2 linked regions of the Drosophila melanogaster genome follow. The protein of the gene in region 1 purifies or fractionates together with the protein of each later gene. This does not show direct contact. Each region holds a gene or a part of one and is shown in the gene's direction. Other genes may lie near its edges.

Region 1 (7,883 bases):
TCCACGTTCGCCTTCTTTGTGCGTTTTAAAATTTTATGCGAGTTGTTTTTCCAGCGCAGCAGCAGCGACAGCAACAACAACACCCCTTTGTTATTGTTTTCTGGGTGGCGAATCACGGAAACGGAAGGGAATTGAGGCTTAAATTGTTGATAAGACTCTGGTAAAAACGCTTACCACTCACATTTTTCGATTAGCGGGGGCGCAGAGCGGCTGTGGGCGGGTATATATGTGCATTATTTTGGAAAATAATGAATTAATAAAGCGCAGTAGCAAGTGACCATCAAGTTGGCCCTTGTTCTTCTTCTTTTTGTAGCTGCGACCAGTGTGGCCAGGTGTGGGCACTTCGTAAAATACCCCCTGGTGTGTGCAATGCGGGGGAGCGTTCGCAGGGGGCATTTGAAAATAAAATGATTTATTATTATGAGCCGATTTCTGGTGAGTAATTTGTCATTTAACCTTAGAATCCAGTCTGAATATTTCAAATATACATTGATTTCCTTTTAAATCTGCTTGATTTAAGTAGTCATTTTAAATTAACTTTATTTACTTTAATTTGGCGTAAATAATTTTAATTTAGTTATTAAAACAACACATAATTATCATCGGAGATTTATGCAAACTCCAAACAACCTGTTGCTACCCTGCAACAAAGTCATGCTTTGACCAGTGTTGAAAAACGCAGCTCCACAGCTGTTTTGCCAAGTTCTTAATTATATTTTTGTTTGCTTATTTTGCGCTTTTGTTTTTCTTTTGCTTGCAATTATTATGTTTATTTGGCATTACTTGACCCTCTTGTGCCTTGGGTTCGCCCTCATCGATGCGAAATCCATCAAGAAGTCGCAGGCCAATCTGTTGGAGCCAACTCTTGATCCTGATGAGAAGCTAGGGAAGATTGGGAAGTCCCCACCCGACATTTCCAATGATGTGCAACGTGTGCAGGTTCCATTAGGTGCGACGCCCGGCAAGAATGGCTGGCAGGGCAAGTGGTTTCCCCATGCCCCTGGACAACAGCAGGAAGCGATTGAATTAAAAATGAAGAGCACCACGGAGGAAGTTCCTCCGCTGGAGTTCACAACCAAGGATGGCTGGCAGGGCAAGTGGTTTCCACAAGCTCCCGGAGAGCCGCACTTGGTGAAGAAAAAACCGCTGGTCGATAACAAAACCAAGTCGGGGAAGTCCACCACACAGGATACTTGGCAGGGTAAATTGTTTCCGCAGGGTCCCAATGAATCGCACAAGACTAAACAAAGCAGCTGTGATGATGGCAAGGTGAGTTTGGCAATATAACTAATACTTCCCCTAAATACCGATGAATGCTTAGTATTAGTCATCTTTTTCTATCATTGTTATTAACAATTTTCAGAGCAATCTTGCCGTGGACTTCGATCCAAACGACATCCGTGACAGCCTGAATTTCCTATGCATCAGTAGTAATCACAGCTTGTACCAACCGGATTTGTCCAGAGAAGCCATTCTTACGGAGCACTTTCTACCTAGCGCCTATCTGCCGCCTGCCAAGTGCCTTAATGAGTCCATTAGCTACTCCCATCTGCCTGCCACCAAGTAAGGCGAACAATATTATAGTTTCCTGCTAATTTCAAATTCAAATCTGTATTATCAGTGGCCCCTATCGCCCGATGCCCGCTGAATATGGCACCTATTCCTACTTGCCTCCTCAGCGATACGTGCGTAATCTGGCGGAAGGTGCCATCGTAATGCTCTACCATCCCTGCGCTTTTCCCGGCCAAGTGAAGCAGCTGCAAGACATCGTGGGTGGCTGTCTGTATCGCCATCTGGTGTCACCCTCGCTGGCTCTGAGTCCGCAGCGACCGCTGGCCCTGCTCGCCTGGAGTCGCAGCCTCGAGATGTCCGTCGTGGATCGACAACTGGCGGCGGACTTCATCCAGAAACACGCCAAGCAAGGACCACTTGCACCGGAGGAATTGTCGCGTTTGATTGTCAAGAGACAGACCTACAAGGAGGGCCTTCTTAGGGAAGCGCACTTGGTCAACACGGCGGACGACTACGAGCTGTGCGGCTACCTACAGGAGGATATGTAGGCCAAATGTGTTAACTATTTGTTTTTAATAAACCTCGAATACTTTGCCAATTTCTTTTTGACTCATTAAATTATCCAGCTACCAGATTTAAAAGACTTGCAGCTGAGGAGTTGTAAATCACACTTTATTTACTTTGCTCATTAAAAAATAAACACATAATTAATGGTAAGAAATTATAAAAATTAATTTTTAGACGATTTCAGTTAAAAAGTCGTTACTTTGGCCTTTCTTCAGTGGGAACTTACCACACTTGCAGAATAGCACTAACGCCTTCTGCTTTTGGTATTTTCGCGTGTCTCGCTTACTGTCCTCGGTTCGGTTTAGTTCTCTTTTCTCCGGATAAAATCAAATTCAATAAGCGATCGCCAAACGATCCCCCACTTGGTCGCCACACAAACAACGTCGCCCGAAAGCCGACGGCTGCATCATCATCCCCTCTCCGGAAACTCCCATCAAGCCCCGGATCCAAAGTGTAGCCCCCCATTCGCAAAAGAAGAAGAAGAACAAAAACAATAGTGGAGAGGTGAAACAAAGGAGACTCGCACTAAAAACAATTAATTTAGCAATTTGTGGTCTCCACAACGTCGATAAATCACGTGATTGTGCAGTTCGTATAGACCCAGGCCACACCACTAGCCATTTGCAGCGCATCCTGCTTGGATTTCAGACTTTACATAACATCCAAGGCGCCCATTCAAAGGAGCAGCGGAAAAGGATTGCAAGCTCTGGAGTCGCAGAAGGTGGAACACTAGGAGCTAGAGCAAGGAGCCAATTTAAGGGATAGTAAGGAAATCCCCAGATTACCCTCTACTTCCACCATGAACAACCTGGCAGACACTGTGGTAGTTGATCCTGGATTCGGAGGCGGCGACAAGCAGCAGCAGGCTGGACCGGCGCCGCAGGATGCCAGCGTGGTGGTTCCTCCGCCGGCCACCAAGCAGTCCTCGGCTCTGAAGAAGACAAGTCGGTACAGGAGCCGCTCGCTTAGTGCCTCCTCAACGGATTCCTTCAGCTCCGCCAGCTACACGGGCAGCAGCGAGGATGGCGACGACGTGCCGCCCAGGGAGAAGGTCCAAAAGAACTCCAAAGGCAGCTCCGATTTCTGTGTAAGGAACATAGGCGCCCAGCATGCATTTGGGCGCAGGGAGATCGAGATTGCGGAGCAGGAGATGCCGGGCATCATAGCGCTGAAGAAGCGGGCGGCCGAGGACAAGCCTCTGAAGGATGCCAAGATCGTGGGTTGCACACACATCAACGCCCAGACTGCCGTGCTCATCGAGACGCTGGTGGAACTGGGCGCCAGCGTGCGCTGGGCCGCCTGCAACATCTACTCCACGCAGGTGAGATGTCGTATGAAAATGTCATAGGGTTCTTACGTATTCATAGGCTGCTTAATGCATTTAATGGAATCTCTTAAGAGATATCTTAACTCATTTTCCTATATTTATTTAAATTCATATGCATATGCGTGCTCGGTCACTTGATCTGCTCGGTCGCTTGGAGACAATTGTTGTCACGCCAGGCGACGCAAACAAATGATCAATCAAGCCATGTTAATCAATTAAGCGCCCGCGGCTCAAGTGTTTGGCAATCGCTGAGTAATTGATGTGCCCTGAATTGGGTCGCCATACCATTGGGAGTGGAAGTTACGGACGCAGTTTTAGTTCCAGCATTGGATCGGCTGCGGTTACTCGATCTGTTTGCCTATTCCTGCGGCGTGGCTGATGCAATTATCACGAGTCTGCTGACGCTAAACAATTTATGGCTTCTCTAATGAAGCGATGCGAGTGCGAGGGCGAGCGCCCTTCCCCGATCATTTATGCACCCATCCGTGCCAGCTTTTATCGCCCACGGCCCCCGACAGCCTGTCACGCTGATTCACCTGTATCGGCTGGGACTTATCAGCCAAGCTACGAGTGCCGTGCTTAGCGAGAATGGAGCCCGATGCGTTATCAGCTCGATATAAGTCAGATATTAGCAAATGTTTACGCCGCATTAGGGTGACTCGATTTATCAGGCCAACTCTCGAGGGTTTTACCTGTTTGACAATCATTTTATTAGCCTTCAAGGACTGTCATTATTAAAACAACTCAATATCGTTGCTTATTATTTTTAGAACGAAGTGGCTGCTGCTTTGGCCGAATCCGGAATCCCGATCTTTGCCTGGCGCGGCGAGACGGAAGAGGACTTCTGGTGGTGCATAGATCGCTGCGTTAACGCCGAGAACTGGCAGCCAAACATGATCCTGGACGATGGCGGCGATGCCACGCACTTGATGCTAAAAAAGTACCCGACCATGTTCAAGTTGGTCAAGGGAATCGTCGAGGAGAGCGTCACCGGAGTGCACCGTCTCTATCAGCTCTCTAAGGCCGGCAAGCTGACAGTGCCGGCGATGAATGTCAACGATTCGGTGACAAAGACCAAATTTGACAACCTCTACAGCTGCAAGGAATCCATCCTGGACAGCCTCAAGCGCTCCACGGACGTGATGTTCGGTGGCAAGCAGGTCGTGGTCTGTGGCTACGGCGATGTGGGCAAGGGATGTGCTCAGGCTCTAAAGGGGCAGGTAAATGGCACCCACAACCATTAGTATGATATACCTTTGTCACCTTTTCAATCTCCAATCGTAGGGCTGCATTGTGTACATCACAGAGATCGATCCCATTTGCGCCCTGCAGGCCAGTATGGATGGCTTCCGTGTGGTCAAGCTGAACGAGGTGATCCGCAACGTAGACATTGTGGTGACGGCGACCGGCAACAAGAACGTGGTGGTGCGCGAGCACATGGACAAGATGAAGAGTGGCTGCATCGTATGCAACATGGGCCACTCGAACACGGAAATCGATGTGAATGGCCTGCGCACACCGGACTTGACCTGGGAGAAGGTGCGCTCCCAGGTGGATCACATTATCTGGCCGGAGGGCAAGTACATCATTCTTCTGGCCGAGGGCAGGCTGGTCAATCTGAGCTGCTCCAGCATCCCCTCGTTCGCCGTGTCTATCACCTCGGCCACCCAGGCCCTGGCCCTGATCGAGCTTTTCAATGCCCCGCCCGGACGCTACAAGTCGGATGTCTACTTGCTGCCCAAGAAGATGGACGAGTATGTTGCCAGCCTGCACCTGCCCACCTTCGATGCCCATTTGACGGAGCTGAGCGACGAGCAGGCCAAGTACATGGGACTGAACAAGGCCGGTCCTTTCAAGCCCAACTACTACCGCTACTAGGACGCAAGGCGGGCGGATGCGGACAATAACACCAGCAATTAGAAGAAACAACAACGCCAACGAAAGTATTGTCTTTGCGAAGAAGTAAAACTATTTAAAACAATTGTTGACACACACACACACGGAAAACACAAAAGGATACGGAAAGGAGAACACAAAGTTACTATTACCATTGTATTGCTTAGTTTAGCTCGAGCGGAATTCTTGGTTGCTTTTCGTTAGCATTTAAAGTCTTCGACATAGTATTTAGCACTCGCTTTAGCCGCAGGAGTATTCTCTCCGTTCACCTATCCAACATGACTCTCTAATCCCCAAAACTAATCTTGCCCCAAGAATTTATCCCCATCAACATTTTTTGTAGCCAGTTACTTGAATTTATTTTAAATACTTCGAACGCCTGTCAATCAGACTGCAGTAGCTCAAAAGACGCGATTAGTTCTCTAAATGTATACTTCTAATTCGGAATTGATAATATATTTAATGGGAATTGACTTGTATAATGGTTTCTAGCATATTTGCATTACATTTCTATAACTTTTTCGCGTGAAATCCATGTACATTTTAATGTTAACGACTTTCCTGACTAATCCCTTTTTTGAGCTACGACAGCTGGGCAATAAGTGATCGATTTAACCTCTCGTATTGTTTACGTACTTAATTTGTTAATGTTTATGGCCCCCGCTTATGATTATGATTATACTTTTGTACTTTCGTTTCGTCCCGAGAGCGTTAATGGAACAGCAGTGCAAGGTATTCCATTTATTCAATTATATACACGCTGGCATATATATCAGATCGAGAATTATATATATATATACACTGCATATACACCTAATATGTATATTAGAAAAAGTGAAAAATGTTTGTAAGAAATTTGTGAGAAACGCAAAACAATAAAAAAGGGATTCTTTATTGAGCAATTAGATCTGTTCCACTGATTGATTTCTCCCCCAGCAGCCCCGTCGAAATGAAAACCAGGAAAAGTTGCTTTCGTATTTTTCAGATGCATCACTCGTCTATTTCTCTTTTTATTACTCGGTACTTGCCTTAAACTTGTTATGTTTTTCTTTGATATTTTATAAAATGTAAACTACACGAGTTTGTCATAAAAAAAATCATACACATTATGTATTATAATCGATTTTTTTTTTGTAATTTTCCGTTCATCTGAACTATTCCTAAAATGCCGTAAAGTGCATAATGTGCAAACCCGTCCTAATTAGGGTAATGCTAAACACATGCGTCAACTAAATCTTAATCAAAGGTTGTGGAACAAACAAATCCAGGCGGAGCCGAAAGTTACAGGGGATTGGTAAACCAGGCTGGCGGAGAGGCATACACATATATTTGCATCTGGAGAGGATCGGAGGGCGGATCTGATCTAATCGAGAAAGTGCGGCTTGAGATGCTTCAGCATGCCAAAGGTGCGGAAGCGGCGGATCTTCATCACCTTCATCAGCTCGTCGTCGCAAATGGCGAACTGCTTGTTCTTGGGGTCGTACAAATCGCGCTCCTTGATGATGGCCCACACCTTCTTCACGACTTCGTGGCGCGGCAGGGAGGACTCTCCCATGAGGGCGCTCAGTTCCGGTGATAGATTGTATGCGCGTGTGAAGCCGGTGCTCTTACGTCCCGATCCTGTTCCCCCGGCCGCCTTGGCCTTCTTCTTGGCCGCCGGCTTCTTGACCACCTCGTAGTCCGAGTCCGAGCCGGCATCGCTCTCGGTGCCGGAATCGTCGGCATTTAGGGTCTTGCGCTTCTTCTTGGGCGCCTTGTGCTTCGTGGGCTGTGGCCTCTTCTTGGGGCTCTGCTTCTTCTTCTTGGCGGCCTCCTCCTCGCTGCTGCTGGGGTCCTCCTCCTCGCTGGGCTCGCTCTCATCGTCGGGATCGGCATCGGGATCCTTGCCCTCGTCATCGTCTTCGTCCTCCTCGTCCTGCTGCTCGTTGATCACCTCCATCACGATCTTGTCGAACTCCTTCTTGCGGCTCAGCAACGAGCAGTTCAGCTTTCCCTCCACCTGCTCGCGCACCCTCTTTGCCGAAATGGTCGCCAAATCGGCGTCCTTCAGAACCGCCTGAATTTCACGACGCAGGTCCTCGCTGGAGATGTCCGACATCTTGGTTCGTGGTGTTCCTCGTTTTCCTGCGCTACACGTAGGGGTTTCAGCCTGCGGGTCACATTGTGGGCATTTTCAGTTATTCCATTGTACGCACAACCTAATCCCAGTCATTTTCAACTTACCGGAGATCCGTTTTCGGTGGTATATTCACGTTTTTCCGGATTCTTTGCGGCGCTTAAAAAGACAAATCTTTTTCGTTTTTTCTTTACACCAAGTCCCGGCGTCTCTATAGGGTTGCTACTTGATGAGAGCTCCTATCGGTTTCGATTAATGCGGCAGTGCTGTCGAATCTAGCTAGATGACAGGTATGTGGAAGTTTACTTTACAACTGATTTCGACAACATTAAGGAATATGTATTTATTTTTTGTTTTTAAAAATTGCGATGCGTGTGTTAGATCCATTGCACTTCTTAATAATGAGGTTTTTTAAAAGAATACTGATTTATAAAGGCAATAAACGGTGTGGTTCGGTTTGGCAAT
Region 2 (4,943 bases), on another chromosome or scaffold:
GACGACGATGCCGATGAGAAGAAGTGTGAGTATCCAAGAATGCCCCCAAAAAAATGAAGTCTCTCAATGCTTAGGCAATCTTAAATATATTTCAACTATTTTTTTTCCCATTTAGATGGCAGCAGCTGCACGGATAATGGAAAGACATGCTCGGGTCTGCCGCACTCGATTTGTTCCAAGAATATTTGCCTATGTCGCCAGGGTTACTATGCCCGCAATGGAAAATGTTTTGCCGGTGAGTAAACTGGGTTTCCCCCAATTTAATTCTTCTATTAATGAAATTAACTGAAATGAAAATTCTTTAGAACTGGGGGAAATTGCGGAGAGCACGGATGAGTGCGAGTACGAGTTCGATCAGTTGACCAAAACTTGCAATTGCCAAAAGAATTATTTCTACGAGCGGGATCTGCGCAATTGCAGAAAACGTAGGTGGTTCCAACGCTAGCTGCTGAATCGCACTTAAGATATATCCTTTTCCATCAAAACAGCCATTCAATACCACTTATCCTGCACCTCGAACAGCCAATGCAGTCCATTTGGCGCCTCCTATTGCCACCCGGAGATTCCGAGGAGGTGCACCTGCGAGGAGTACGCTCTCTACGATGCCATCAAGCAGCTCTGCGAATACAAACGTGGCCTGGGAGCCGAGTGTGAGTCGAACGATGGCTGTCCTGTGGATCACTCCGTCTGCTCCAATCGCGTGTGCGTTTGTGCGGACAACTACTTTGAGAAGGACGATCAGTGTATGCGTGGCATCGGTGCCGACTGCTCGGTGGAGGATGACTGCATACCTGAGAACACCGAATGCCAGGAGAAGGACGAGGAGGATCAGTCGCGCACCTGCCAGTGCCGAAAGGGATACGTGCACTTTAAGGATGAGTGCCTAAAAGAGGGTTAGTACTCAGAAGCTGAAATGCAAAGCAGCAAAATTATGCCCTGCCCCACATTACATTTCATTATAGCCGAGGAGCTGGAGGACGAGTGCGTCGAGGATGAGCAGTGCAAGCCGCTCCTGGCGAGCTGCAATTCGGAGGGCAAGTGTGGATGCAACGATGAGCAGCATGCTAAGAACGGAGTCTGTGAGACGAAGCGAGGTAATTGAGTCGCTAAGCTTTCTTTAATTATTTGTAATAATTCTAATATGTTGCAATCTTGCAGAGCTGGGAGAGTCGTGCACCAAGGCCACCGAGTGCTATGTAGAAAAGGATCCCGAGAATGTCGAGTGCCGCAACTCCGTGTGCCAGTGCAAGCTGGGCTACTCGGCGAACGCCAATCAGAATCAATGCATTCGCGTGATGCCCAATAAGAAAAGTAAGTGTCCTTGCAAAACCAATTGAGTAAGGATGATCTATGAATGTCACGCTTTTCGCAGATTCTTCCGGTAGACCAAGTGCTCTCAAAATCATCACCTTCATGCTGATTGGCTCCGCTTTCCTTATCACCAGTGCGGCCATAAAGCAGGCCTACTACTAGAACCAAACCAAAACCTAAATCCTTTCACCTGCGTGTTTGGGGAATGGCGAGGATAATCGAGGGAGGAGTTGGCCAAGGACCTTGGGGGGATCGGGGTGATTTGGGGATCGGCGGGAGTGGCCAGTATTAGCCAAGTTACTGGCATGGATGCAGGTCCATGCGCAACGTGAATATAAATCAATTAGTTCGTAAGTTGATATTTAGGAGTCGAAGCAATATAAATTTGGAGAAAGGGTCCTCGGAACGGAACGACTCTCGCTTATCTAATACGGCTAAGTGTAATGACAAATTATCTGTAAGTTTTGAAGTTAAACCGCTTGTTGCTAGGCTAAGCGAACAGTTTTTAACCAAATTGTAATATATACATCATAATAAACTAAGGCCAACGAAGAGTTGTGTATCAAATCCAGAAACTGGCAATTATTATTAAACAAGTAGTTTTGAGATTTCACTTCTATCAGTTAGCAACAGCAACTCAACTCAAATTTGTACCTTTCAATTTTTCAAGCTCGAATGTTTTGTACGTAATTCTTAGTTTAGCATCCTAAATTTCAGTACGTTAGTTGAAAAGTATAAGTAGAGATGGCACCGTATCCAAACGGCTTTTTAAGTTACGCGGTGGCTATACATCTTAAATCCCCGCACCTCCAAATGGAGGAGTCACTGCGTCAGGGAGCGGGGTACTGGAATGCATTGAGTTCGCGAGAAAAGAATCAGTATCGATCGAAAGTAAGTTCCTAGGGATTACACACTTTCCCCCTGACCGGCGAACTTTATCTTCTGCCCTTCGTTAATACCCTGCAGTACCAGAAACGGTGTCTCAGCAAAAGCTCCACTTCGCGTCATCGGCGTCAATCGGAGAAACTCAAACATATGGGATGCGGCCGCAAGAAAATAGTGCCCAAGTGTTCCCGAAAGCCCACGACTCCGGCCTGCAAGCCAAGGAGCGTCAATAGGTGTCCCCGGAAAAGCAGCTCCAACCGCTCGAGTCGTGAATGCATGCTGATGAAGTCACCAAAAGGCGTAAGTGCCAGTAGTTTAAATAATATTAACATTTATTTTATTATTTATAAAAGTTACTTTTAAGTAAGATATATTTTCATGTGTATGTCAACTTCACTTGTTTTGATAGTGAATTTTAAACACTGGGTTCATAGCGAACAAGTTGTCGTTTTCGTAACCAAACAATTATCACCTTGTTTTCAACTCTATTTTCTATTTTTTTTGTTGCCACTCAATTGTCTTAATATTGATAAGGGCATTTTGGTCAAAGTGTTTGCACATTATCTTGCAGTTTGCTATTTTATTTTTGTTATCAGCTCGGCTAGTAAAACAATCTGCAGTAATTTGACTGTATCTTTTGATTTATATTCGATTTGCGACCCATTTAAAATGGAGATTAAAATCTAGGGACCTTGAATTTCTGTATTTCAGAAGCTCATATTTGCATTCGAATCGAAGAGAACAGTAAAACAGTGTCAAATATTTCTGGGTGAACTTTCCGAGTACAAATAGGTCAAAGTTGATTTTGTCGTAAGACAATTGCTAAACTGAACTGCCTATAAATTTCAAGTCTCAAAATGTCCCTCAATTGCCCGGTTCATAATAAGAACTCCAGTGGCTTAAACATGTAAGTTTCGGCCAAGAGATCGCTTTCGATATCCGGCGTATGTGTTCCTTGTGGTAACAATGTGGTTTGCATACAGTACCAGGTCCGCAACCTCGGATGACGTCAAGATCGCCATGTGCGCCTGCTTGGAATTGGCCAACTGTCGGGCCGAAAACTGTCAGCTGAAGAAGAAACTGACCGAATATGAGGCCAAGATCTGCAGTCTCGAACAACTGGTGGCCACCATTGCGGAGGAGCAGAACCAGATTCGCCAAGAAGTGATCGAGTTGCGCAATGAGACTCAGGGTGCAACGATGGAAGCCGCCAACGAGGTGGATCCTTTGGACAACTCATTCGTGAACCCGCAAGAGGAAATGGACGATGAGGAAGGATACGATCCGGATTCAGAATCCGAGTACAATGCTATCCAGTCCCCCAATCCCTCAATACATTCTTCGATGGTCTCGCTGGTTCGCTCATTGAGTTTTTCATCCACCAGCTCAGATTCTGATTGCATTGTATACAGCGATAATGAGGATTTCTAAGAAACCCATCTCATTCCAATCGCATCTTCTCAACAAGTTCCGTTCGCGAACTTTGATACCACACGATATGAGTAAACGACAATGTTAAAATAAATAGTTCGTTGTGGTGCATCACATAATAGTATTGGGCAATTCTAGAATATTTTTGAAATGTGACGGAATAAAATTCCTCAAAAAATATCCAAGCAAACTAGCTAACGTAATCAGTAAAATTACTTTGTCTTAAAAATAGATAACTCTAATATCTTGGCTACTTTCAATGCCGATCCTGTAGTTGCAGCCAGAAATCTGGTGGCGAAATAATCAGTCCATTGAGGTTCTGGGAGAGATCGGGCAACCGATCATTGGGGCCCAGGACGAAGTCAAAGTGCTGGCACATGGTCGCTGTCACCAGGAAGAGCATGTTGCGCGCAAATGTCTCGCCGGCACAGAGCCGTTTTCCCGCTCCAAAGGGCAGCGAGACATCCAGTTTCAGGCAGAGCTTGCCATCCGCGTCCAGGAATCTCTCCGGCCGGAACTGCTCCGGATCCGACCAAATACGGGCGTCCGAGTGGAAGGCATACAGGCTGGGCACGACAATGGTGTCCTGTACGGGTATATAGGGGAAAATAGTTTGGTTTTTAAAATTAAATAGATAGGAAACTTTTCTAACCTTGGGTATCCGGTAGCCCAGCAATTCGGTGTCCTCCAGCGCCTTGTGCGGGACATCCGAGGGAACCAGCGTCTCGATGCGCAGACCTTCGCGAATGGTGGCCTCCGTGAAGGGCAAGTTCTTGCGATCCTCCAGGTTGGGCAATCGTCCGCATCCCACCACCTCGTCGATCTCGTTCTGAACCCGCCGCAGAACTGCCGGATATAGCATGAGATACTGGACGAGTAGCGATAGCTGCACTCCGATGGCAGTGAAGGCCGGAAAGGAGAAGTCCACCAGGCCCATGATCAATTGATCCCGATTGAAACCGTAGCCCGGACCTCGGCGCATTTCAGCTATGTAGACATCCATGAAGTTGCGCTCCACACCCTCTTCGTAGCTGTCCAAATACTTATCCACAAAGTCGGCAAAGAACTGCCGCACGAATAGGTTGGACTCGTTTAGCTTGTTGTAGCCACTCCATTCGGGCCAAATGTGCCGAATCCACGGTATAATGCTCAACATTTTGCCGTAGTCGTCCGCATTCCGCTGGAACTGTATGCCCATCTGGCAGAGCTTCACCAATTTGCCCATTTCCTCGCGACTCAGGCACTCATTGTAGACAATGTAAAAGTGAGCGTTGGCCGAGAAGGGATTAAAGAGCAGCGGCAGAAGCACGCGATAT

The links. The genes of interacting proteins can lie anywhere in the genome.
Region 2: the proteins of AhcyL1 (region 1) and grsm purify together in Drosophila melanogaster (affinity purification with mass spectrometry, with the first as the bait; one large-scale study listed by BioGRID). This does not show direct contact.

What each region holds. Positions count from the first base shown.
Region 1 is NT_037436.4:2,766,785-2,774,667, reverse strand, and holds AhcyL1 (adenosylhomocysteinase like 1), read left to right. Parts: upstream 1-2,342; 5' UTR 2,343-2,878; coding exon 2,879-3,400; intron 3,401-4,176; coding exon 4,177-4,626; intron 4,627-4,690; coding exon 4,691-5,284; 3' UTR 5,285-6,202; downstream 6,203-7,883. Other genes in the region: CG12093 (uncharacterized protein), read left to right, coding at 766-1,269, 1,364-1,563, 1,622-2,060; Non2 (putative nucleolar protein 2), read right to left, coding at 6,666-7,400. UniProt on the Drosophila melanogaster protein: Might play a role in the regulation of methionine metabolism possibly by binding and inactivating Ahcy.
Region 2 is NT_033777.3:12,964,713-12,969,655, reverse strand, and holds the start of grsm (granny smith), read left to right. Parts: upstream 1-1,943; 5' UTR 1,944-2,055; coding exon 2,056-2,202; intron 2,203-2,277; coding exon 2,278-2,496; intron 2,497-2,907; exon of another isoform or gene 2,908-3,053; coding exon of another isoform or gene 3,054-3,103; intron 3,104-3,179; coding exon of another isoform or gene 3,180-3,627; exon of another isoform or gene 3,628-3,718; intron 3,719-3,732; exon of another isoform or gene 3,733-3,883; coding exon of another isoform or gene 3,884-4,213; intron 4,214-4,279; coding exon of another isoform or gene 4,280-4,943. Other genes in the region: CG7381 (uncharacterized protein), read left to right, coding at 1-25, 116-235, 306-425, 489-893, 963-1,094, 1,159-1,311, 1,373-1,473; CG14384 (uncharacterized protein), read left to right, coding at 3,054-3,103, 3,180-3,627; Cyp304a1 (cytochrome P450 304a1), read right to left, coding at 3,884-4,213, 4,280-4,943.